Linked DNA regions of Danio rerio. The protein of the gene in region 2 purifies or fractionates together with the protein of the main gene of each other region. This does not show direct contact. Links are inferred from orthologs where the notes say so. Each region holds a gene or a part of one and is shown on either strand. Other genes may lie near its edges. The genes, in order: kat7b, ing4 and jade3.

Region 1 (4,288 bases), on a different chromosome or scaffold from region 2:
TATCACAGCCAAATATAGATTGAAAATATATTCATTCATTCATTTTCTTGTCGGCTTAGTCCCTTTATTAATCCAGGGTCTCCACAGCGGAATGAACCGCCAACTTATCCAGCAAGTATTTACGCAGCGGATGCCCTTCCAGCCGCAACCCATCTGTGGGAAACATCCACACACACACTCATACACTACGGACAATTTAGCCTACCCAATTCACCTGTACTGCATGTCTTTGTACTGTGGGGGAAAACCGGAGCCGGGGGAAAATGGAAACCCACATGAAGGCAGGGAGAACATGCAAACTCCACACAGAAACGCCAACTGAGCCGAGGTACGAACCAGCGACCTTCTTGCTGTGAGGTGACAGCACTATACTGCGCCACTGCCTCGCCCAGATTTAAAACATATTTACCCACAAGTAGGGTGACTCGGTGGCACTCGGTGGCACAATCACCTCACAGCAAGAAGGTTGCTGGTTCGAGCCTCAACCATTTTATATTTTTATTAGTGTTGAACATCTCATTTTATCTTTACATCCCCATATGGGCCAATTAATCCTGTTTTTTTATAGTAAGTAAAGGTGTAGTAACCATGCTTTTAGACTTGATAACCAATTCTATAACTACAGTTTAGGCTACTACAAAAACCATATACACTCTCAGAAATAACGGTACAGGAGCTGTCGCTGGGGCAGTACCTTTTCAAAAGATACATATTTGTACCCAAAGAGTCCATAGTGGTACCTCAAGGGTGCATTTTAGTGCCCAAATGTACCTTTGACATACCATTATGGACCCTTCATGTACTAATATGTATTTTTTGTAAAGGTTCTGCCCCAGCGACAGCTCCTGTATCTTTATTTCGAAGAAGGTGTTAGTTAACCAAAGAAATATTTTGTTTTATTAATTTATTTTGATAACGGTTATTGCCTAAAAGGTTATCTGGACATTCGAGCTATATGACATTTAATTGCATTAAATATGCTTTATTCAAACTTAATTTCGAACATTAAAATTAAATAGGATTGCCAACAAATTCAGGGAATCACAAAAAGTTTCTAGAGTTTTTAGAAACGAATATCAAAAAGTTTTTAGATCAATGAAAAATAGTTTACAATTTGGTACAGCTAAGCATACATTTTGTTTTGATGTGGTCATTTACAAATAAAATAAGATTTTTTGTTATTTTGCAGGCCGTTCATTCCACTGTGGCGGCCCCGGATTAATAAAGGGACTAAGCCGAAAAGAAAATGAATGAATGAATGAATGAATGAATGTTATTTTGCAGAACATGGATGTTTGTTGAGTCCTACTGGTCTAAATGGACGACGTCCCTCACTCGCTTCAGCGCCGCCATGTTTTCCGTCATTGCGTCACTTCCGCCGCGGTCCGGTGTGGCGCGAGTCGCGAGATAGTGAACAATTTGCGAGAACAGAAAAGGGCAAACTTGTGTTCACGCAGCTGCTGGGTTATATCTAATAACTGAAAACAAATAAATTCGTTTGACAAACGTGTGAAGAAAGCGGCGATTGGATTTATCGGAGGGAACATGCCGCGGCGGAAGGTGAGAGAAAATGCGAGAACTGGGTCAGTAGCCCAGTCGGCTGAGCGCGCGCTAACGGCTAGCTCAATGTTTGTTTACATGTTCAGACAAATGTTGTTTGTTTTCTATTAAAATGTTTCAATTTTTATCTCAATTGTGTTCTGAGTTAACATTTTAGCGCATAAGAATCGAAAAGCAAAGAAAGTGGCTTCGAAAACGGTGCGTTTTTAGGTAAAAGTGAAGCTAGTTAGCATTTTTTCTTTATGTGCAAACGTTAATGTTGAAAACACACTTGAGATTTAAAGTAATATTATTATTTCATTAAGGCAAGATACATTGCAAGTTTCCTTTTACCATCTGTCTATTTAGATTTTTTTTGCTTTTTAATGCTATTCAGAATACAATTCTACGAGAATACGATGATACTGTAAAGAAAACACCCATTATGCCCTTTTAATGTGTTATTTTCTAAGCTTTTTATCAAAATGTGTGTTTGTACATTCAGTTGCAATACATATTCTATTCTGAAAATGTTTTTGTTTCTCCTCTACAGGGCCATAAATCTCCATTTCAGCTGATCTTAAATAAACCCATAAATACTGAGGTAAAGTTCATTTTATTAATCGCACATTTAGACATTAATAATAAAGTTTCAGGAAAGTATTTTTTTGCTAACAAAGGAGAAGCTGGAAAAAACAGCAGCAAATGATCCAATCTGCAACCTAAAACATGAACAAACTGCCATGTTTAACGTTAACTAGTATCATCACCTATTGGACTATTATGAATTTGGAATGACGGAATTACCTTCTAACAAGAGGCTACATGTGCTGCTGAAGATTAAAGACACATATAAGAGGTTTGCGTCTGACTGGGCTATATTTCGTGTTGTTTTTGAACCCAAATAAGGACTAAATGTATGCTGTGTGTAGTTTTTATGTAATTGATAACATATCGGAGACTGTAAAGGTCTGTTTGTTTTCATATATGTTGTGTTTATTTATTTATTACATATAATTACAGACGCTACAGTAGGCTATTTTGCACTATCACTGATCTGTAGTTATAATCAAGTCATGTTCATAGAAGGGTTAGTAATAAACATTTAAAGAGAAGTATTTATGTGTATAAAGCTTCTGTTTTGTGAGAAGGGCTTCTCATATTTGTGAACGACCTGTATGGCTTTACTGTGACATTTCCTTTAGTAAAAATGATGTCATCTGAAACTTTGTCATACACCACTCCCACTAAAAGGGTACCTTTTTGGCTGTAGAAACGCAAGCTTGTTAAAGTGACCCCATTCCGACCGTGAAAACCGGCCATAAATGTCTCCCTTCCTAAGTTACACTTGCTCCTTTAGCTTCCTCACTGTCTATTTTCAAGCGCAGTGCGATCATTTTTGTCGCATATGTGCCCGAAATTTCATCTATGCATAAAATTGATGACGTTCGACCAGTTTTCACAACAAAATATTCACCACATGCGCAGATTTAGGAGGCATTCACGCATTAAGCATCTTTGCACCTAAAAACACCAAACGCAGCACTCAGGAATGGTTTAAAACAAGTGACTTGTCAACTTGCTGCAGTAAACAAAGCCTGCAATGCTTGCCCTGCCTTCTAGCTCTTCTTATTGGCCCACTGCGCTAGAACAGAACTCGAATAGATTGGCTCATATCAGCTGTCAATCAGACAGTTCCGATGACAGAGCTACAGCCACGAAAACGTAAAGGTAATCCATATGGAACATTGTTGTGTACAGAATATGGTCAGTCTATGTTACTGTTCCTATGGTGTATGTAAGTTTTTTGGCTTTTGTTTTAGGCTTTTTAGAACAACAGTATCCCCAGCAGCCTAAGCAGTTATCACAATACCGTTAAACCATGCTATATTTATCCAAGGTTTTCATACCATCTAAATCTTATGCCGTCCCATGCCTAAGTACAACAGTCAATTAAATATTACTTATATTGTTTAAGTAACATGGTAAACGATATAGGGACCAAGTCACAAGTTGTCATTGAACGAATGTGCGAATTTAAAACCAACTTTACCTTAATCCCATAAACCAGTGTTTCTCAACCACGTTCCTGGAAGACCACCAGCTCTGCACATTTTTCATGTCTTCTTAACCAAACACACCTGATTCAAATCATCAGCTCATCAGCAGAGACTGAGAGACTTATAATGGGTTTGACAGACAAAGGAGACATCCAAAACATGCATTGTTGGTGGTCCTTCAGGAACGTGGTTGAGAAACAGTCATAAACCATTACATTTTTCCCTTGCTGTTTTCAGTTTTTACAAAAACAGTGTAAAAAAACGAATGATCGTTTTTGAACTATATTTTTGTGCTAGAAATGTGCAAATTTAATGAAATAATGGATCATTTTTTACATTTAAACATCATTGTAGAACAATTGTAATGCTGTTTCTTTGCATTTCTTCAAGTAATCAATCGAAATCGTTTATAATCTTTTCCCCTGTTCAACTGCAGTGCTTAGCTCATTTTAAAGTGTTGTTTAATTCATGATCTGTACATGTACACTGATAAAGCACTGCTAATGTCCACTCTGTGTTTAGAGAACTGCGGGCAGTAGTTCAGACGGGACTGCAGATTCGGATGACTCTGGAGATCATGAGAAGACCGACAGCTCTCACGGTGAAGCCAACCAGCGCAATAACACCCGCATGACCCGAGCATCACTGCGCCTTAGCCAGAGCTCTCAAGGTAAAAACACACAGCTCAT
Region 2 (4,292 bases):
ACTAACACGGACCAAAGTTAATTTAGGCGTTTGCCTGCTGAAGAAAAAATAAATAAAACAAGATAATTTTGGCAAATTGTTTTAAATTTCTGTTAGGCTTGAATTATATTAGGGATAGTCCACCTAAAGTTTACCTGGCTTACTGATCATTTACTCACCCTCGGGTGGTTCCAAAACTTTTTTTTTTTTTTTGCTGTACACAATGGAAAAAAATTGGTAGACACTGACTTTCACAGTATTTATTCACAACGGATACCGGTTTACAACATTCTTCAAAAAGATCTCCCATTGGGTGAACTATCCTATTAAAGTCCTATGTGATACTTACTCCCCGGGCCGTTTATATCGAAGTTGATGTTTAGCATCATGTTGGTGTTTTGTGACATCTAATTTTTACAAGATGAGTTGTTAGGGCAACGCTCAACCCCCAAACCTGGAGGACCAGGACTTACGCACATACACTACAGACAGTTTTGCTTACCCAATTCACCTGTAGCGCATGTCTTTGGACTCTGGAGCACTTGGAGGAAACCCGAAGAGGACATGAAGACTTCAGATGCAAAAACCTATAAATTACACCTGATATTTTGTCCAAAAATAAGCATTTTTTAAAAGCCTCCTGGAATTATGTTCAGTTATTTCACTGTAAAGGCAAAGAAAATAACTTATTTGTAGTCAAAATGACTGAACCTACACACAGGAGAAAATGCTATTTTAGAAGTACATATCAAATGGCATTTAGAGGTTTTTGTATCTAAACTCTTCACATGCAAACTCCACGCAGAAATGCCAACTGACCCAGCCGGGACTCGAACCAGCAACCTTCTTTCTGTAAGGCGTGATCTAAAATATATTTTAAAAAGTTAACTCACAAACATTGTGTCCAAAAATTTTTTTAAAATAAAAATAAATCATTTTATAGACTGTTTCATTTTGTGAGGGAAAATGGTGTCTATGTTAAATAGCAACTTTTTCGATAATATTGTTTAAGGGACAAAATAAAAGCTTCATTTGTTTCAGTTTTTCTTAAAAAGCTTAATTTGACTACACTTCACAATGTTGAAATTCAGATGAAATGGCAAAAAAATAAAAATAAGTCGAGCAAAGCTATTCATAAAATGTATTGTGATGCTAAATTAAGTCAAAATTGTTTCAAAATTTGAGATACTGTCATGTAATTTAGCATTTCAACCACCCCAAAATAAATCCCTCAATATATTCTCACCTTTTTATCTTTGAACATCCAAGGAGCAGTTTAGTCATTCCGTTTCAAGACACCTTCAAAGCAGATAAATGACATGAAAGGGGTCAACAGACACCCCATTCAGGACCCCTCCTCCTCATGAGCATGGCCCCCGAGAACTTCCGGCAAAACCGGAAGAACCTTTGTTTGTGTTTGTCAAGATGGCGGCTGGAATGTATCTAGAGCACTATTTGGACAGTAAGACTATTGTCTTCATTTTGATATTTATCCCCACAAATAAACATCGTCCGTGTTTAGATTGTCAAGCATGCCTGCAAGTTTCACATACACACGCCATTTACTATAAAAACGACCACGTAACGAGACAAAGCAGCGCTTTATTACGCGTTATTGCGATCAGTAGCTTCTGCTAACAGGCTATGAACAGTGTTATGATGTCAGCGACGGTTTATCGCTTAATTGTAGTGTTACTGTGACAGGATGTGATGTTTCTACTATTAATGTATTGAAATGATAAACATAAATAAACCCTGGAGCACATTGTTAAGCTTCAAATAAAGTGTTTAGCCCTGTCGAGATAACAAATAGTTTATTTAGTGCCATTTTTAAAATGTACACAGAATTGTGGGTCTTAGATGCTTTGTGTTATTGGTGTAAAGTTGGTTTTATTTTAGCACATTTGGACTTTTACCTCATTAATATAGTTTCAAAAAAGTATTATTTGCTAATTTTAAATAAGGATATAAAATTAGCAGCCAGTTACTATCAAAGTACATTATTTACAGTCAGTAAATTAGTGCTAATGTTGTTTTAAAGTCATATTTACATGCGAATTCAGACTAAATATTTAAAGTAGGCTGGTAAACAATATAGCTACTGTGTCACAACAAGTAGTCACGTTGTGTTTATAACAATTTGTCATTATAACGAATCTGCATTAGCCTTTTTAATTTCTGCTTCACTATTTTCTTGGACTCCAAAGTATAAATGTGAGAATATAAAGCCAATTTTACCTGAATCTTCATGGTGGTGCTGAAGACTCATATGTCACTTGATCTATTTAGGCATCGAGAATCTGCCATTTGAGCTGCAAAGAAACTTCCAGCTGATGCGAGATCTGGACCAGAGGACAGAGGGTGAGTCGGTGTAGTAATATCTTTTATAATGCGTGCTGTTACTTTATTTCCTGACTCTATTATTTCTTCTATAAAATGGTACATCTCTTTTAAATGGTTGTTTGTTTACATCTCTTGTTTCTGCAGATCTGAAAGGGCAGATTGATTCTCTGGCTCGTGAATACACCGCTAATGCTCGGACACTGTCATCTGAACAGAAGCTCTCGCTGTTAAGACAGATCCAGCAGTCTTATGGGAAGTGCAAAGAGTTCGGAGATGACAAGGTGCAGCTTGCGATGCAAACCTATGAGATGGTTAGTGAAAATCTGCATTTGCTCTTTGCTAAATAGAAAAAAAAGTAGATATATATATACAGTGCTCAGCATATACAAGTACACTTCTCAAATCTCTCTTTTAAATTCTTATTTTTAATAGAAAGCTATACAATATTATATTTGTGTATATACAGATTAGATTATCAGTACTGAAGCCAAACCTGGAACTCATTTAACAAAATAACTTATGATCATGCTCCAAAAACTAGTACACCCAAATTGATATGTTATAAAAAAAATATTAAATGCAAATTTGACAAATTTTAAGAGAAGCAAAAAATAATAATAATTTAAATTTTGTTGATATTTTGTAGGTTGTCATTTTTATTTCTATTATCTTTTTAGTTTTTTTAACTATTTTTTCTATTCTTCTATTTGTTTAAGTGATAATTCACCAAAAAATTAAATGTACTCACTATTTACTCTATATTTTTTATTTACTTTTAAAAAATCCCCAAAATTTATCAGATATGATGATAATTCAGATTTAGTAAGAAATAATAAATCTACTTTTATACAAGTTTGTTTTCCATGCAGAAATTGTGCCGCATGTCAGAATCTAGTAAAGTATAAAGAATTTTAGAATCAAGTAACAGGTAAAAATAATAAAACAAAAAACTGCATTATTATATACATATATATATATATATATATATATATATATATATATATATATATATATATATATATATATATATATAAAGGGAAGTCATCACGTTATTTGAAATTGCGAATTAGTGAACATAAATCAAGTATACGATGACAAGATATAACTTCGGCAGTAGGAAGACATTTCAGATGATGACATTAAACAGAAGAATGTATGGGGGAATTACCAACCTACATCACACATGATGTCACACAGGTTCAACCACGCATACCAGTTGCAAAAAAAGACCGGTTGCAATAGCAAACATGTCGTGTTGTGCTGTAGGACAACCTAGAACCAGCTACTGCGAAGGCACGGTCACCTCTGCATTTCAGCCTTGACCCAGGTATGCACAACAGTTTCTGGTTAGAAGACCGAAGAGACAGACCAGGCTGATGCTCAATTAACATGTCTGACAGATAAGAAGTTGCCAGGCCATTTAGAGATTTAACAACCGAGAGAAGCATTTTAAAAGTTACTCTATAGTGCACAGGCAGCCAGTGCAAAGAGCGTAAAACTGGTGTAATGCGTGTTGTGTGTCATGTTTCTTGGTACCTGTTAAAAGCCTTGCAGCAACATTTTATACTAATTGTAACCAGGATTACAATAGTCCATTCTAGTAGTAATAAAAGCATGGATTATTTTTTTCCAAACTTTTTTCTAGATAAAATAAATTTGACAGTTTTTAAAAGTTGAAGCTGAAAAAAGCAGGAAATGACCACTGCATTTAACTGTTTGTCAAATCTTAAGCCATCATCCAGAATTACACCTTGATATTTTATCCAGGGCTTCATAAAAAAACTTAATTTTTCTAGATTAACCATTGGGGCTCTGGAAGAGTTTGACGGGCCGAACAAAATCATTTCACTCTTACTCTCATGAACTCCTGTAACTACTGATATCTATAGATACAAATACCATGGAAGTCAATGGTTATAGGTTTTATCTTTTTATATATTTCCAACAAAAAAAAAATAATGTCAAAAAGG
Region 3 (3,655 bases), on a different chromosome or scaffold from region 2:
AAAGAAGATGAGGAGAACCTTCTGCTGCAGCCACAGGAGGACAGCATTCATACACGCATGCGCATGTTTATGCACCTGCGCCAGGACCTGGAGAGGGTGAGGGTTTTGAAGCCTGAGTCACATTGTTTAGCAGTGTTTTTGCTGTTTTTGTGCGTTTGTTTGACTTTTAAAAGAAAACTTCACTTTTCTTTTTAAATAGTTTCATTTTACAAATCATCTAGAAAGTTTTTAGTACCATTTTTGAACCCATTCAGATGATATTCAGCTCTGTCAAGAGCACTTTTATCTTAGCTTACCATAGATCATTCCATCGAATTAGACCATTAGCATCTCGGTCAAAAATGGCAAAAAAAGTTTTGATAATTTTTAATTTAAAGATTGACACTTCTATAGTAACATTGTGTGCTAAGACTGACAGAAATTCAAGTTTGCTGTTTTCTAGGCTGATACGGCTCGGAATTATAGGAGTGTAATAGTCAGGGAACTTTACTGCCGTACCATGGTTGCAGCAGGTGCAATGATATTACCCAGTAACATTACGTAGTTACTATGGCAGGGCAATAAATCCATTTTCTCAATTAACTCGAGTGGGGCTGTGCAATTAATCGAAATCGAATCGTATTTGTGATTTGAAATGTTGCAATTAGCTAACACAAGGGGCAGCGATATGAAATGTGTATAATTTATTTCCCCCACCCAAAGAGAATGCGTGACTGCCGTCTGTGTGTGATGGTCTTACTACCCAATTGAGTGAGCACACTTTCATTCTGCCCAATCAGAGTTGCGCAACAGAACTATGCGGAAAGCCCACAATAAAAACAAACAAACAGGACCGCACGGACAAGTGGGATGACGCCGTCTGCCGCTTCAGAAGCATTAATAGACGAATTAATGTCAAAGAAAAACAGCACAAAGCTAATATGGGAATCATAAAACAGGTCATTTGTAAGAGATGTCGCAGAATTGTTGCCACAGCTTGAGGAAATACAACAACCAGCACCTAAAAAAGCACCACAGACGGCTACATGAAGAGTGTCTTGCTAAAAACTCAACTAAAAGTATTGCCAGTTACGCTCAATCTAGTAGCAAGCAACAGCAAAGTACAATTTCAGAGTTGTGTGCAGCTGTTACACCATATGAAAAAACATCATGAAGGCACCAGGAGATAACTAACACCATAACTCACTACTGTCTGCTGTAGAGAAAAATTAGTGTTTCATTTCTGAATATTATAAACAGTTTTGAATAAAAGTTGAAGTTGGTGAATATCGTTTCAGTTCCCTTTTCACTAACAGTCACTGCATTTTAGCAGTAAGTAGCTATGCTACAAAATATTGAGCTGAAGCTTGACTACAAAGTTGAATCGCAAATTGAAATCGCAGTATCTGTCAAAAAAAAAAATTGCCATTAGATATTTTCCCCAAATTGCACAGCCCTAAACTTGAGCGTGTATTTTACATCAAATTGTTTGAATGAAAAATTTTTAATTTTTTTTTTACACATGCGATGCTTTCCTCTGGTCTCCATTTCTCCGAAAACCTAAAGAAAATCTTTTTAAAAAGATCACCCACCCCTACTAGTTACCTAGTTGGGGACTATCTTCATTATGTCATTGCGCCTCCTTGCATAACTCCCTGGTATGGCAGCTCTAGTTCATTGATTATTACGCCAGAATAATCATGACCATTTATCTACACTACTGTGTATTTGGACTAAATTTTGTGAATTATATTACAACTTCTATTATTATATTACATTTAGAACATTTGGTGTATTTACAGGTTTTCCTTTAATGACACTGCTGTTTTCAGAAGGCATTACTTCAGTTTTCAGTGTCGCATTATTTATCAGAAATCATTCATGAAGCAGGAAGCTTCTAATGTGCTGATGAGGAAACATTTCTTAGTGCTTTTACAAAACTCAAGATTTGGATCACTAGATTTTTGAGCCATTGACTCGATTATTTTTCCAAACAAAAACTGGTTAATAAATATAATTCGCTTTCCAACCATGGATGCTAGTTTTATCAATAAAACGCTAAATTGCTAAATAAAATAAATTAATTGCTAAATAAATGTCTTTTTTCATTTTAATATACAGTTATTATTAATAATAATAGATTTTTATTTTTAATAATTATTTTTTTTATCATTCTTTTTGTTTAATAATACTCATTGCAACTTGTTAAGATACCAAATGAGCAGTCTACTTCAAAAATAAGTTGTCAGTAAATCAGTAAATCTAAGCAAATAATCATGTATATACAAAATAAATGTGTGTATTTGAAGCATTAATAGTATTGTATGGTTATAATTCTATATTTTAAACCATCAATGTTTTTTTTTTTTGAACATTATGATCTTTATGCATATTTCTGTGTCATGTTGTCAGGTGAGAAACTTGTGCTACATGGTGAGTCGAAGAGAGAAACTGAAGCTGTCCCAGAGTAAAGCTCAAGAACAGATTTTCAATCTACACGTTAAGCTTGTCAACCAAGAGTTGTCTGCAGGTAACAACTAACTTGTATTTATATTTGTTGATTTGTTGTTTTGTAGTTTACTTACAGTGCATTTAACCCTTGTGTGCTGTTGGGGATGTTTTCATCCACTCTGAGGTGATTTTGAGTGTTAATTTTGCTGAAACACAGAGAAAGTTCAATTACATTCATCTTTATTTCTTTAGCACTTTTACAATGTAGATTGATTCAAAGCAGCTTCACATAAAAGATTATAGTTAATTGAAACTGTCAGTCCATTGAAGTTGTGGCCAATGGAATGATGTTTGGTGATGAATCTTATTTTGACACATATTTTGGGGAAATGCTTTGAAAAGTTTCAAAAACCTATATCAACAATACATTTTGGGCACGTTTATTATCCTTTTTTTTGTGATTGTGGCTGTTTTTGCCCCATTAACTTTCATTATAGCTACATTTTTTATAATAATAATACATTTTATTTATAGCGTTCTTTTCTCAGACCCAAAGCGCTACAAGGCGAACAGTAACAGTACCGTGCAAGGGATGATTTTGGTTGTACGATTATAGTCTAGGGAATTATTACGTGTATCACAGTTATTATGCAGTCATTCATTGCAAAATACTAGTTTAGAAAATCACATGAAAACTTCTTATATTTTAAATTGTTATCAGTAACCAATTAATACAGCACAAAATAACAAAAAATAAACAAAATAATCCATTTATCTTTGGACTTAAAAATAAGTGAAAAATGCTTTTGGGATTTAAACACAAGTAGTAATTTTACACTGAAAATAAATGACAGAACAAAAATAAATAAATAAATAGTTTTTGTCCAATGTAAATTTAAGCATCATATTAGTTAAGTATTTCCCTTTTAAATAGAACAAATGAAGTCAAAGACTGCTGAACACTTGTCTGAAAGGCACTAATATGCACGCAAACCACGTGCCTCCATTGGAAATAACGAACTTGCATGCGTGTAAAAGATGGGATATGTGAATGGCCCTTAGTTAAAAACCTCCTCAGCCATAGTTATAATAAGTCTTTGATCCAATGTGCGTGCGTATTGTGTACAAGCTCAGAACTTTAAACTAGCGCACCATTGGCATAACTTTAAGTTGCAGCAGTTTTGTTCCATGCAGAAATACGGTGTTGAGAAGCCTTCACGATTGA

The links.
Region 1: the proteins of ing4 (region 2) and kat7b purify together in Homo sapiens (affinity purification with western blotting; 6 studies listed by BioGRID and IntAct, with this or other methods). This does not show direct contact. The link is inferred for Danio rerio from reciprocal best matches to the Homo sapiens genes ING4 and KAT7.
Region 3: the proteins of ing4 (region 2) and jade3 purify together in Homo sapiens (affinity purification with mass spectrometry; 3 studies listed by BioGRID and IntAct, with this or other methods). This does not show direct contact. The link is inferred for Danio rerio from reciprocal best matches to the Homo sapiens genes ING4 and JADE3.

Annotation. Positions count from the first base shown.
Region 1 is NC_133187.1:6,548,141-6,552,428, reverse strand, and holds the start of kat7b (histone acetyltransferase KAT7), read left to right. Parts: upstream 1-1,416; 5' UTR 1,417-1,545; coding exon 1,546-1,560; intron 1,561-2,092; coding exon 2,093-2,143; intron 2,144-4,121; coding exon 4,122-4,269; intron 4,270-4,288. UniProt on the Homo sapiens protein: Catalytic subunit of histone acetyltransferase HBO1 complexes, which specifically mediate acetylation of histone H3 at 'Lys-14' (H3K14ac), thereby regulating various processes, such as gene transcription, protein ubiquitination, immune regulation, stem cell pluripotent and self-renewal maintenance and embryonic development.
Region 2 is NC_133194.1:10,614,011-10,618,302, reverse strand, and holds the start of ing4 (inhibitor of growth protein 4), read left to right. Parts: upstream 1-1,376; 5' UTR 1,377-1,404; coding exon 1,405-1,441; intron 1,442-2,268; coding exon 2,269-2,340; intron 2,341-2,466; coding exon 2,467-2,633; intron 2,634-4,292. Other genes in the region: uncharacterized protein fam131ba, read right to left, coding at 482-566, 799-843, 1,226-1,243.
Region 3 is NC_133181.1:40,040,055-40,043,709, reverse strand, and holds part of jade3 (protein Jade-3), read left to right. Parts: coding exon 1-96; intron 97-2,391; coding exon 2,392-2,509; intron 2,510-3,655. UniProt on the Homo sapiens protein: Scaffold subunit of some HBO1 complexes, which have a histone H4 acetyltransferase activity.